Linked DNA regions of Oreochromis niloticus. The protein of the gene in region 1 interacts with the protein of each later gene in a pairwise test. Links are inferred from orthologs where the notes say so. Each region holds a gene or a part of one and is shown on either strand. Other genes may lie near its edges.

Region 1 (7,276 bases):
TCTGCGACTTATGATATAAAACAAACAGGGGCTAAAAGAGGCTATGGTATGTCTCTGGCAACTTTAACACGATGTCCCAGGACAAATTTGTAAATTTCTGGATTACTGTTAATCTCCATAGAATCAAGAACTCATGTCCAGTTTCACGGCTATGGACCAGTTAATTATGTTTCCAGGTGATAGTTTGATTCATAGATTCAGCACACAACCATTAGTCTAGGCCTTTTAGTTCAAATTCTCTTCACTTATGTTTGTAAAATGATCAGGGAAGCTACTGCAATTTTGCCTGACATTGTTATGACAGCTATATTCACCTGTACATTTATTATATATCATAATATATTGACGGGAGAGCTATATTCACCTGTACTTTCATAATAAATCATAATACATTGACACGCAATTCTCTGTCTGGAGAACACTGGTTCGCAAGTAGCCTATCACTAGCAAACAAACAGCTATCCATTTCAAGGAAAACATATCGAACCGGCAACCTTCCGATTACAAGGCGAACTCCCAACTCTTGAGCCACGATCGCCCCACAGTAAGTAAGCTGTGGGGCGTAAGCTAGTAAGCTATTAAGTAAGCTATTAAGTAAGCTATTAAGACTCAATTGTACACTGTGTTCGTGTTTTCCTCCGGAAAAAATAAGTTCCGTTGGAGCAGCCTTTCAACGCCTCTCTCTGTCTCTGGCAAGCAAAGTTGACCCAGACAACAAAGTAAAGCTATTTTTCGGCTACCAGCCCGACACGGAACCCACTGTATTAGCCCGAGGTCCCTTTACTACTGTTCGGAGCCGCGGACCTTCAGTAACAGTAATAAATCACAGCAATAGTACATTCACGTAGTTGTAAACAGCATGATAATATATTAAGTAATCCAAAGTATTCAGAATACGTTACTCTCATTGAGTAACGTAACGGAATACGTTACAGCAGGGGTGGGCAATTCCAGGCCCCGAGGGCTGGTGTCCCTGCAGGTTTTACACGTGTCCTTGAACCAACACAGCTGATTTAAATGGCTAAATTAGCTCCTCAACATGTCCTGATGTTCTTCAGAGGCCTGGTAATGAACTAATCATGTGATTCAGGTGTGTTGACCCAAGGTGAGATCTAAAACCTGCAGGGACACCGGCCCTCGGGGCCTGGAATTGCCCACCCCTGCGTTACAGAATACATTTTGGGCCATGTATTCAGTATTCTGTAATGGAATACATTTTAAAAGTAACCTTCCCAACACTGCTAAACAGTTATTTGGGCTGCTGTGAAGCTGATCTAATGATGAAACATTTCCATCCAAATGGGAGTGTTTTTCTTTTCCATGCCTCCATTCACAGGGTGTAAAGGTTTTCACACTAGATAAATAACAAATTCAGCAGGTCTGGATAAACACAGTGGATTCACTTAGGATTTAATACTGGTTATACCATGCACAACAAGGGCTTGCAATGACTCATTGTTATACAGTGATATTTTGTAGGTGTAGTTAGTATGCCAACCTTTATTCCATTCGTAGCCATTCTACTATAATGTAGATAAAATATAAAACATTGCATCCATAGTGAAAGTCAGATTCTAGTTTGTTCTACCTGCTTATAAAGGATTCCTAAATATTAACATAAATAAATAAAAAACATTCATTTTTAAGTTGAATCATGGGTGTGTTGTACAGTCTTCTGATTTGCAAGTTTTGTTTAATGTATGTCTGTACACAAACTACACTTAATTCACTGTAACACCTTGTGCAAAATACAGAATTTATTTGCGGATTCTGTTATAAATATTAGGAAGCCGGACAGTGTCAGATGAGCTGGCAGGATGCAACAGTTTTTGCTATGTTAGGTCAGCATTTTCTACACAGTACAGAAGACATTAAAGTGTTAGATGTGTTGTTTAGTGTCTTCACACACTGTTTTTGGTCAAATAAGCAAAATCGCATAATACTTCAATTTAAGACTGCAATGCTTTCTAAGAGTGGCTGTGAGTGTGTTTATTTCAGCAGGGTCTTCATAACTCTTATGGAAGAACCTTTGTAACCACCACCAAAGTGGTTCCAGTGATTCAGGTAGTGGAAGAGTTGGTAAAGCTGGTTCCTCTTTGCAAATCCTGGTGCTTGGGGAATCTTGCTGTGGTATGCAGAGTAAAAAGCGCTGTTGAAGCCACCAAACATCCCAGCAATACCCAACTCAAACTCAGAGTGCCCATAGAAGGAAGCAGGATCGAAGATGACTGGGCCGTCTGCACACTCTGCCACGTTTCCTCCCCATAAATCTCCATGTAGGAGAGCGGGGACTATCTCCACATCTTTGAAGAACTGGGGGATCTTCAGCTGGAAATAAGAGACACAACATGCACATTACAATGCTGAAACAATCATAATGTCTTGTGCAAAATATGTTTAATTTCAAACAGAATCAAAGGGAGGTTGCACCTGTAACTCAGCCCATAGTTCTCTGGTCTCCCTGTCTCCATACGATTTCTCCACCACGTTAAGCTGGTGCTGTAGCCTCTGCTGGGTGTAGAATGCCACCCAATCACTCTGCCATTGATTGTCCTGGAGAGGTAAGAAAGAGAAGAAACTGTGATGCTGCTGAAATTCACTTTAACATCTTGAAGATTTGGAGACCAAACATTTGTAACACAACTTAGAGACATCAATACTGTACACCTTCCCCTAGAATGCAGACACAGTATATCGACACGTATACATTGGCTTTACCTGTGGCAGATATCCACAGCATGTAGTTACATGGAAGCCAAATTTTTCAACAGCAGCCACATCTGACTGACCCGCTCCTTTTCCTGCATATATAGCCGCAATATTAATAAACAGTCATCACAAACGTTTTACCTAAAATATGACACAGTTCATTATTATTCATTGGTGTGTGTGTGTGTTCTTGTCTAGCTATCTTTGTGAGGACCGAAATCTGCATTCTACTATACTTGTGAGAACCAGCAGTCACTTGTGAGGACACACAACCCGGTCCTCACATTTTTGAAGGCATTTAAAGCCATTTTTGAGGCTTAAAACGTGGTTTTAGTGTCAGGGTTACAATTAGGTTATGGTTAGGTTTAGGGTAAGGGTTAGGGTTAGGCATTCATTTTTAATGGTTAGGGTTAGGGTAAGGGGCTAGGGAAACCATTATGTCAATGAGGGTCCTCACTAAGATAGCTGAACGGGGTTGTGTGTGTGTGTGTGTGTGTGTGTGTGTGTGTGTGTGTGTGTGTATTATCCACATTGTGGCATCCTAAAATTAAGTTAAACTGAATTACCCACTGTCTGTTGCTCTTTATTTAATTTTTCCAGTTGTTTCTTGTTGTGAAGATGCAGATCTGCCATCTTCTCTCCTAGCTGTTTTGAGTACCTGCTCATTGCATTTAAAAATAAAGTATGTCATTGAAAAAATATTTTGCTCAGTGTTTCTAAAACTAAATTCATCTGCCCAAATTCTGCTTTAAACTGCACTAAAGAAAAAAATGTAGTCAAGAGCTCTCTTACTTGCTAAGACTGTTCATGTCCAGATGTTCCATCACAAATACAGAGCCTCCCGTGTCAAGCTCAATCACCTTTATGGGCTTGGGGACTTTCACGGTTTCTGTCTTTACAATAGCCTCCAAACTGGCCACTTCTCCATCAAACATCAGTTTGGCCTGGATAAATTAAAGACAGGACAACACGGTCTGGTAAACACAAGCTTCAGTAACTGTAAATATTTGCATCGTTCTCCACTCCACAACACCCGCACAAAGTCCACGGACAGTAGTGTGGTGCAGCTGCTGGATCATGTCCTATTCATTTAAGTCCCGAGTTGAGCACACGCCGAAAGCCGACCATGAACTAACTGAATGACACAACAGTTAAAGAAAATGAAAAACTAACAATGGCAGATACCTCACTCTTGTGATTTGTCTTTACAAACACTTTCCCAGTGTCAGTATGATAACTCTGTCCCTCGCTGATGCATCCACCTCCAGCATGACCAGCTGATTTCAGCATGGTTGTCCCCAACTCCTTCTTTAACTTAGCTTCCATGATTATTTATCATCAGTTCCAGGACAGTTACAGCAGGACTAAAACCAACTACGCATTGCAAATGCGGGTATGAAAGTCTTTCTGACAGTTTCCGTTGTGGCAGCCAACCAGGACTTTGTCCCGAAGCAGGATTTTGTTTTGCTTCCGGTATGTAAATAATGATAGAGTAGTAGCCAATCATAAACAAGTCTGGGTTGTTTATGATTGGATTGATTTCTACTTTGTCCAATAGTTGCGACGTCTGCCCGGTCACGTGAACGTCGCCATGGTGCCAAGTGAGGCTACAGCTATACGCTACGAGTTTAACTATGGTTCTGCAGAAAAACCGGCATGACCAGCAAAGAAATGTGTTTACTCCTCGGAGCGACCGGTGTTGGTAAGACGTTGTTGCTCAAACGTCTACAAAATATCCTTTGTGGCCATGTGAATTTCTTTGACGTAAAAGGAAATACTACCAAATAGCTTAATTAGCTAACTAATTTAGCCTATGAGCTTGTGTAGTACTTAAGTTGCTAAGTAATGGACGACCAGGGTCTGTATATCGCCTTTCCCAATTGCCAAATGTCGATACCCAGTGTTATTTTATTTTGCATCGGTATGTGTACAAATTCATCTTCATAATAAGACCTCTAAGAGAGATTATTATTACAATATAGAAGCTATGATAGCCCTTATTAGTTTGGAAATTCGCATTACTGCAGAAATTAGTGCTGTACTGTAATGTGAAATTGTCAATGGTCAGAAAGTGGATAATAACAATAATAATTATAATTATATAAAACAATAGGAAACATGTACAAGGTAGAAGTATAATTTAAATGTGTGTACATATATGGCGCAGTGATAAAATATAACATCTTTAGATGCCTAGAAGCAACAAAACAGAACCCCCAGATGATGCTAATAGGAGATGGAGTGTTGAAAACAGTTGCACACTGTTATTTATCAGTCCCTAATGTGTGCATGTGTAAATATACATGTGTTTTACTGCTGCGGCTCTGCTAGATGGAAAGACCTCCAATATTGCTCCTTTACACACCGTGGGTCCAGCAGCCTGACGCTTAAGAAGCTGCTCAGTGCTGTAAGAGTGTCCTGCATTGGGTGGGAGGTGTTTAGCTACAATGCTACCGGTCACTTACTACCTCCACTGGGTCAAGAGGGCATCACGTTGGCACTCTTGGTCTACCTGTTTCAATTCTTTTTGTCCCCAGTAGAGATACTGCTGCCCCAACAGACCAACACCATTACAGATGGCTGTTGGAACCACAGAGTCATAAAATGTCTTCAGGAGCTTCTCCTGCACTTCAAAAGTCCTTGGCATACTTACCAGATACAGCCTGCTAGCTATTTCTGTATTTTTCCAGTTGCTTTTATTCTAAAAATTATATTTCAGAGATTGAAAGGGAAGTGATCTGCAACAGCACAAGTTAAACACTATCCTCCAGTTGCCTAGATTACATGCATGGGGCCCATCGCATATAAACTTTGCCCAAATTGGTGGATTATTAATAAACTGTCATCTGAGCAGATGACATGATCTCATTTGTGAGGTGACAAGTGAACAGTAGTCTCTCAGCTGTGACATCACCAACCTTACTCATAACAAATATTCAAGTTCTACTTTCATAGCTCATAAAATATTGCATAAACATTTCAAAATGTTTTTCTTTAAAGCTGATAGCAATGCTGGCTCAAGTCAATTTTCCTATCAGATTTCATTTACAGTTTATCGTACATGGTTTAGATGAATTAGGGACACCACCTTCAACTCTTCCCACAGTAAGTACTAATGGACAGTTCAAATTCTCTGACACCTTATCCGTGTAATTTCTTCAATCTCCAGTCTTCATTCTTTGTAGGTAGGAACCAATCTGACAGACCTGACCGTGAAGAAGAAGAAGGTGACTGTGAGAGAGCTGGGAGGCTGCATGGGCCCTATATGGCCCAGTTACTTCAAAGACTGCTCCTCTGTCATTGTATGATCTTTGTATACATGCTGTTTATATTTGTAATATTCAATATGGGTTTTCTAAATTGAAGTGTTTGAGTAGATTTCTTTTGTTTACATTTCTCCATAGTTCATGGTGGATTCAGCCAACATTGCTCAGATATCCTCCTCCTGTATCCAGCTGCTGTCAGTACTCTCAGCTGAGCCTCTGAGCAAGGCCTCTGTGCTTATTCTCTTCAACAAGAGGTGACACTCCTAGAATACACATCAGTCTCTATTAGTGTTTTACTATATTGTACAAGATCTCTAGCAGGTTTAATGCAATTTGTATGTAATAAGGAAAGCTAATAATACCACTAGGAAATTTTTGATTTTCTTTTCCAATTTTAAATTTTTCCCCCAGGGACACGCCTTGCACTATGAGCCTTATAGAGATAAAGTCACTGTTCAGGATGGATGACATTGTTGCATCTGCGACTCAGCCAATCACAACACTGGAAGTCAGTGCCAGATCTGGAGAGGGACTTAAAGAGGTGATGAGCTGGCTGGAGTCCGTCACAGTCAAGTGACATACGCTTACTGACTACTTCATTAGGTACACATGTACAATTACTCTTTCATGCAAATATCTAATCAGCTAATAACATGGCAGCAACTGAATTAGTTTAAGCATTGAAACATGGTAAAGATGATCTGCTGAACCGAGTTCTCTGGCCTTGTTGTTGTAGATGGTCAGAGGAGAAGGAGACCAGAGGGGCTAAGAACAGGAAACAGGCTACAGTTTGCACAGGCTAACCAAAGTTAGACATCAAAGAATTGAAAAATGTTGCCTGGTCCAGTGAGTGTCAGTTTCTCCCGGGAATTTGGATGGTATTGTTACAATTTGGCATAAATAAAATGAAAGTATAGATCCACCCTCCCTTGTATCAGAGGATCAGGCTGGTAGCGGTGTAATGGTGTGCCAGATATTTTCTTGGTACCCTGCACCCAGCAGGATAACGCAGTATGTCACAAAGCTCCAGTCATGAACTTGACAATCAGTTCACTGTACTCAAATGGCCTCAAGAGTCACCAGATCTCAATCCAGTGGAGCACCTTCAAAGTCTGGTGCAAACTCACACCATGGTTGTGCACATGACAAATCTGCAGCAAGTGCATAAGACTGTCAAGTCAATATGGACCAAAATCCAAGGAATGTTTCCAGCACCTTGTTAAATAGAATTAAAACAGTTCTGAAGGAAAACTAGTGAGGTATACCTAATAAAGTGGCCAGTGACTGTGTGTGTGTGTGTG
Region 2 (7,578 bases), on another chromosome or scaffold:
AGGTTTACACAGCTACATTCTCGCCTGAAAATATGTTAAACGTTTATTTTGTGACCCAGAAAGAATAACAAGAGTGATATTAAAACTAACTAGCTGCCGCCATTGTTGAAAACTGAGCCAAGCAGGTCCGCGCTATGAATTCTGGGACACAGCTTCTTCTTCTTCGGGGTTTAACGGCAGCTGGCATCCTTACACATGCAGTGCTGCCATCTTCTGTTTCAGTCCGTTATTACACTCTTAAATCCTACTACTTATTCCTGCGTCTTTGGGATCTTACGAAGCTTCAAACGACGTGTCGACTATTAAATTAGTCGTCAACGATTTTAATAGTCGACGTAATCGTGACTAGTCAACTAATCGTGGCAGCCCTACTTCCTTCCAGTTCCAAGATGTCTGAAGGGGTTTCGTAAGAACATCGTGACCATTTAAAATCATCACATTTCACCATTTACAAATCTGATGACTACTCAGTATGGGACGAAGTGAAATAACTTCACAAACACTACTTTAGTATTATGGAAGTTAAACAGGGCTGTTGTCATATTGGACTGTATATGTGTTACCGTTACAGTAAAGGAGGGAAAAAGAAAATGATATTCACCCCATTTCAATAAGGACAGAAGGCAGTAAAGCCCCGTTCCATTAAATCATGGATTTAAGCATTACCACAGTGCATCAAGAGGTCTGACCAAACGGTTAAAGGCATGCAGTAAAAGTGCTGTAGAAATGTGTGTGAATGTATGAATCAAGCCTGCAGTAAAAAGTGCCCACATGAAGCTGGTTAACTGGTCAAGTTAACCCAGGGAGTCCTAGTGTATCTTCAAGCTAATTTACATGAAAGGGTGACACTGGCACAGACCTAACCATTAAGTACACAATCACCCCCCCTACCCCCACCCCTTTCTTTTCTGTAGACTTTTTCCCATAGTACGATTTCTAATCTGGACATGCTTTTCAGTTTTTAGGTTTTCTGAGCATCAGAAATGAAGCGTATTTGTTTAATTCTGTGTGACACAGGTTATAACATAGTTTTACTCCTGTGTTTGAGTGCATATTTCAGAGCTTCTAGGCATGTCCTTGTATTTTAATGACTGTGAATTGACTCAGCACTGAGTTCTTATAAAATATAGGCAACCTAAACATCACATGTGTGCTTGAAACACCTCCTTAGCTTCTGCTTCATGCTTATGTTACAGCTTGTGTAGACAAGGCGTAACCCCTAAAAATAAGTCTACAATGATAACCTACACATAAGAGACTATTATGATACTACTCTACTGCACTTTTACTGCATGACTTAAATCGCTTTGTCTTTTTTTTTTTCCTTGTTTCCCTTGGTTAAAAAACAAACAAACAAAACAAAACAAGCTTCATGTTTAGTTTACAGACTGATGTTCTGACATTTGTTTTAAACTGGATGCTACAACTCAGAATTAATGAATCAATGACATGATGAGCTGCATCAAGCTTAAAGTGACTCTCTTTACCTACCTAAATGACTGAACACTTATCCTGCGTGGAAGCGGGTTACGTTCAGAGTTTTTCTTCAAAATCCACTGGAAGCACCATTTTTAAGTGCATTATAGATTCCCTGCTGGGGGAATATGTTTTATATTTGCAGCTGTTAAGCTGTACTGTCACAGGAATGTCCATGTATTAAACTGGCAAATTACAAAAATGTATAAATGTTGTTATACATGACTAATCTACTGCACAATCTCTTAGTCTGTTGGAACTCACATCAAATATACAGATTCAGGCAACAAAATTGATTTCTGCGTGTCTTTTATCAGGATGTGGGACAGTACCCCGTTTCTGATTAATCAGAAAGTTCCTCTTGGGTCTCATCTTTCCTAAGAAATGTTTAATTACTTCTGGCTTAGTGATGTGATCTTTACTAAGCCACAGATGGGCAGCAGTGTTCTCTTTTGAGAGCAGTGGATTTTCCTTGCAGTCCTGCGTTCAGTGCACCTGTGCAGAACAACAAAGATTTTGATCCATTTGTACAGTGTGACTGGATCGTTAGAGATGCCAAGTCAACGTTTTAAAAGCTGATGATGAACAGCATCTCCTATTCTCCAATCTTCACAAATCTGTTGCTCGGTCACTTTCTCAGACATGTGTTGGATGAGCGCTAACAGGCACACCAAAGAGGAATAAAATTGACTCACTACATGACTACACATTTAACAGGTCATACTGCAATCTCCAATGTTGCTCTGGTGATTAGCATACAAATCCAGAATACCTGAGTGGAATCAAGTCTGCCATCATCACACAAAGAGGCGCACCTGGGTTTCAACTTCCAGCATTACGGAACCATACAGCAGTCAGACTATGCTCAACGCGAGTCACATACCTGTGAGGCGCTTAATAATAGTTACAGGAGGCACAACAGTTACTTCTCAGCTACCTGAGCAAAATCTCATCCTCTTCATGTGCCACAGGTACTACAACTGCAGGCAAATTCACCCTCGTGTGGAAGCTCATGTGAGCCCACAGGTCGTCATTCAATGAGCTGCTGTTGTGTCCGTTCAGACACTGGAACACAGCAACTATACAACTCCGTGAGCAGAGACTGTGGCAGGTTAGCTTTAGCAACTAAGCTTGTTGTACAACAACATCCATCCTGCTAATGTGGCTGCAGCATCCTGTCCTATGCCTTTACCCAGACAGCTAGCTATTTAGCTCACTGCTGTGTTTCTAACATTCGCGCAACATAAACAGGAAAAAGGATACAGTTTGAAGCCCTTCAAAATTTCCTTGGCCCTGTCTTCGTCTGAAGACATGTCCGAAATGGTTTGTTTTCGTTCCTCACAGATAACCTAGACTTTTCTGAAAAGAGACGGCTGCTGTTCACGTTAGCTTAACTACTTGGCTAACTACTAGTCAGAATTCGCCTGGAACAACGTTCACTACTCTGCTGGACTGCAGGCTAAATCTGATCCGATAATGCAATCAGCTAAATATACCCAGCTAGCAAACGGGCTGCACACAGCCTAACCAGTGAAACGCAAGGGACCCCCTATCAGCCAATCACAAGGAGAATAGCGACCAAGGGCGGGACTAAAGCGGATAAAGACGCGTCACCAGTGGCAACGCCACACACAAAGTATTACATCATTATTGCGCTGTCTGTGTGCTTACTTCTTTTATCATTTAAGCACTCGCTCTCCTAAAACGCAAAACTAGGTGTGCGTTCAAATTCAGGGGCTGCCCTTAAAGACCGGAAGTGAGCGGCTGTTAAACTGGACCGTGTCCCCCTACGATGCTCGGCTCTTGTTGCTTAGCAACCGCGACAGTAGACGCTGCATCCGTGATGGACGTCCGAAATGGAGAAAATCTTTAATTTATGTCATTTATTTTACTTTTATTGGAGCAAAATTGTGTTGTTTCGTGTAATGTATGTGAGAACACCACAGCCGTGCGCGGACTCCCTTTAGCCAACAGTAATATTAACTTTAGCAAGTAAACTAGTTAGCTATAGTGTAGCTCAAGACACTATCCTCATTTCATTTTGATGGTACAAAAAATAATAGATCTTATACATATTTTATTATATATACTGTACTTACATAAAAAAATAGCTCACTGATAGAATTTAACTCAGTTGTCCTAAATGTTACATTTCAGTTCAAATTCAGGGTATTTAGTTCTAATTTTTAGTTTATACCTGTATGACTGTCTCACAAATAATTATATACTGCGACCCCTACAGCTGTCTGAAAGCTTTAGTTATATTGAAGGGCAATATCCCGTAGTGACAGCTAAAAATCCTTTTGTAGGTTTCAAATAAAATACAAGGTAAACGGATGTAGTAAATATTCTTTTATTGGATGAGAAAATTGTGCAATATAATTTTCTTAAGATGTTAAAGACAGAGCAAACTCTCCCAAATGCAAGGCTCACCAGGCTGGAAACTGTGGTTTGCACGCAGAATCCAAACTGGGCTGTCCTTCTCCAGGACCAAACAGTACTGAAAATTTACCATTTTTGCAGATGCTAAATCTTTTGATACTTATCTGGATTCATAATTCCATCGATTTTAACAAGATCTCCAACACCACTGGCTGAAATGCAGCCCCAACCATGAGAGAGCCTCCACCGTTTTTCACAGATGCAGGCTGTAGGTGTTCACCGTTTTACATCTTTCCTGACCTCCTCTACACTTACTGACAACTATTTGAACCAAAATCTTTTAATTTGGATCCATCACTCCATTGGGCCAGTTGCCACTGATTTTCAGTCCAGTTCTTGTGTAATGTGGCATACTTCAGGCTTTTCTTTGTTTACCTTTCTTAACAATGACTTCCTGTAAGCAACCCTTCCACTGAGGCAATTTCTGATGAGGCTTCAGTGAACAGTAGATGGATCAGCTGAAGGTGGAGATGCATCTCTCAGGTCCGAATAAGAAGATCATTTGTAACCTTCACTAAGGCCATTATTGTATATTGACTGAAACTCCTCAAATAAACTATTTTTCTCTGCACATGATCAGTAAGTGGTTTACAACTACACTTTCAAGAATTTCTGAGATAAAAGGAAGGTTGGAGATAATGCCTATAATTAGCCAATACAGCTGGGTCAAGTGGCATTTTAAGTAACTGTTTAACTACTGCCACAGAGGTCTGTGGTGCATAGCCAATTAACAGAGATGGAGATGATCAGCATTATTCAATTCACCTGTGAGTGCTAATTTTAGCACGACTGGTGTATGTGTAGCGTTTTGTAGTATTGATCACTCAAATTCTGTAAGACTACACGCCATACATCAAAACCATGCAAGCTCATCAAAGAACTTCCCAGTTGGGGTGTGAACCACAAACCCCTCACTGAGAGGCGACAGTGGTAACCACTGAACTTCCACACCTCATGTTTCTCCATTTCACTTTGTGAACTCATTAAAAAATTGGAAGTGGCTTGAGTGTGACCGTGTGTGAGACAGAATAAAGTGCTGGAGAACACTCAGCTGATTAAGCATTTTCACACACATCCCAAAGCTTCATGCTCCTTTCAAACAGAAATAAATGGGCACAAGTCACCATTATAAAATTTGTTTTATACTTAAAGTACACATTTCTATACAAAAATGTAATTGCTTTACTTCTGCTGCAGTGGTAAGTTCTTCGGTGATATTCATTCCTTTAGCCACAGTAGGCTAATCTACAGTCTGGTCTAAAGCCAAGCAGCATGTTATGTGTATATTTTGAAGCATCACTCAATTTTGAGATTTCTACAAACATCTTCAGGTGTGCTGTCGGCTAAGATGGTTGCAGCAACGTAAACAGATCTGATGAATAGTGACAAAGCAAAAAAAGAAAGACGAGGCTGGAATGTAGTTTCACGTTTTATTAAATGACTTTTTACTCCTTCTTGGCAGCAGCCTTTCTCATGGCAGCCAGTACGTTGCTCAGCTCTTCTCTCTTTCTCTTGGCCCGAATGTGAGTGCCGATCTGTAGGGGAAAAACAGTATAGAAATATTAGAAGAGCTCTGAGCTTTTCTGTTGTCCAGTCAGTGCATAATATCATATCCAACATACAATCACAAAAAAGCTCAGGTCCTTATAAATGGCCAACACACTACAGATTGCTCATGATAAAAGTACCTCACTGAAATTGTGAGAATGCACACATCTCAACTCATAGTTAACAGTTGGAAGGCTGTGTGACATGGAAAATAATGAGTGTAGCCTCCAAATCGCAAAACATGGCACTGTTTAACCTCATTAAGTGAACATGTTATGAAAGCTGAGCTCATTTTGAATGTGATCGCAGCCACAAATCATAAATAAGTTGGCACAGGGTCACATGCAGCACTGTGTAGCATCCCTCTTCTTCTAACAACAACCCACTAGTCCACCAGAGCAGCTGAGGGACTTGTGGAAGAGAAATGTTAGAAGATTATTCTTCTTCTCTGTTAGAGGATTTCAGCTGCTCAGCAGTTCTGGCCCTGCTTTGTCCTGTTTTTGGTGCAAACTGCCACTTCCAAAGGCACCGATTTCGATTAATATGACCTCAGCAGTTTCCCACTTTGCCTTAGTCTATTTTAAACTAGCTTTGGTCCAGAGAAGACAGCGGTGTCTATGGATAACACTCCGATGTGACTGCCACTTTGCATGTCAGAGTGCTAACCTGCATCTGTGGAGGGCACACTGAGCTGTGTTCACACACTTATCCTTAGCCCATGCACTGATTCCCACCGCACAATCATGCCTGTTTTGAGGGCCTGGTGATACGGACGTCCAACAGTGATGATATCATGAACTACAGATGATGAATTACTTAAAGTCGTCACGTGTTTACATTCAGAAACATTCTGAAATACAATTTGTAGATGCAGTTTTCTGCAGAATGGTGAACCTCTGCCTCTCCAAGATGCCCTTTTTAGACCAGTGATGTGACTCACATGTTGTCAACCTAAGTGGCTGCTAAATGTTCCTCCAGCTCTTTTTTTTTTAGTGCCACTTTTTCAGCTTGACCCTGTCCGAATGTTCTGATACCTGCTGCTGCCATCGAGTCAAAATGAGCTCAGTTTTCTTAACACGGTACATTTATTCAGTTTAAACATGTAATGCGTTTTATAAATAAATATTTATAAATACGCAAACGTTGTATTATCTTTATTTACATTTTACAACTTGTCCTCAATTTTGTGGTTTGTAACTGGGTAAATACTACTGTGGTTTAGGCTGGTGAGCACCTGCAGGTGCTTTGACACAAACACAAACTCACCCTCTTCTTGATGAACTTGAGGGCTCTCTTGTCCTTGGACACTTTCAGCAGCTCCATGGCTCTCCTCTCATACGGAGCAAACCCACACACTTCACGGATCATATCCCGCACAAACTTTGTGTGTTTGGTCAGACGCTGGGCAGTAAAGACATAGTACACGGTAAGTCAAAGCATTTAACACCATTCACTCCATTTGGACATAATGTGATATAGGAATGTTGATGCCTGATGATTATGCTTATGTGGACTGATTTACACTGTATGTTTCATCTTAAGCTTCAGGTCAATCCAGTCACAGAGTATGTACACAAACTACAGTCTTAAGTGCAAATATATTTATCCTAACACTTGTAATATAGTCAAGTCTGTAAAGTCACTCAGCAGGAGATACTCACCCCGCGCCGGCGGCTGTGTTTGGGAGCAGTTACATTTTTGGTGACTGGGTGGCCTTTGTTAAGGCCAACAGCCATAGGATAACGAATAGCCATGTCTGCGGAGGATAATACACAAACATTAAGACAAGTGCAAATGATGAGTTTTTAACTAGCTGCAATGTCACATGATCAAGAGACGTTGTACTTTGGTATGCAATAGCAGGAAGACCAACACTGACAACAGGCTCTTGTCTCAGCTCTATTGTAAGCCACCACATCAGCTTTGCACCCATGGGCAACGTTTTATCAAAGCCTTTTTTCCTACTTGAGTGGTCTACATCACTGGGTTCAGTGGTGTTATGATCATCTGACAGCAGGACAGCTCAAATAAAACAGGGTGTAGATGTGACATGGTAAGGTCTGTGAAACAGGAATAGGATGGGGCCCTCCATCGCTTTACTTTACTGCAAAG

What was found.
Region 2: the proteins of arl16 (region 1) and pde6d interact in binary tests that used the Homo sapiens proteins (3 or more experiments, as listed by UniProt). The two-hybrid records come from large-scale screens. The link is inferred for Oreochromis niloticus from reciprocal best matches to the Homo sapiens genes ARL16 and PDE6D.

What each region holds. Positions count from the first base shown.
Region 1 is NC_031969.2:22,590,936-22,598,211, forward strand, and holds arl16 (ADP-ribosylation factor-like protein 16), read left to right. Parts: upstream 1-4,253; 5' UTR 4,254-4,365; coding exon 4,366-4,441; intron 4,442-5,747; exon of another isoform or gene 5,748-5,758; coding exon 5,759-5,814; intron 5,815-5,894; coding exon 5,895-6,011; intron 6,012-6,113; coding exon 6,114-6,229; intron 6,230-6,386; coding exon 6,387-6,552; 3' UTR 6,553-6,578; intron 6,579-6,711; 3' UTR 6,712-7,157; downstream 7,158-7,276. Other genes in the region: fn3krp (ketosamine-3-kinase), read right to left, coding at 1,990-2,328, 2,431-2,553, 2,719-2,801, 3,276-3,367, 3,502-3,653, 3,895-4,035. UniProt on the Homo sapiens protein: May suppress the RNA sensing activity of RIGI in a GTP-dependent.
Region 2 is NC_031981.2:24,030,375-24,037,952, forward strand, and holds the start of pde6d (retinal rod rhodopsin-sensitive cGMP 3',5'-cyclic phosphodiesterase subunit delta), read right to left. Parts: upstream 3,026-7,578; 5' UTR 2,790-3,025; coding exon 2,740-2,789; intron 1-2,739. Other genes in the region: rpl36 (large ribosomal subunit protein eL36), read right to left, coding at 5,364-5,453, 6,733-6,867, 7,128-7,220. UniProt on the Homo sapiens protein: Promotes the release of prenylated target proteins from cellular membranes. Modulates the activity of prenylated or palmitoylated Ras family members by regulating their subcellular location.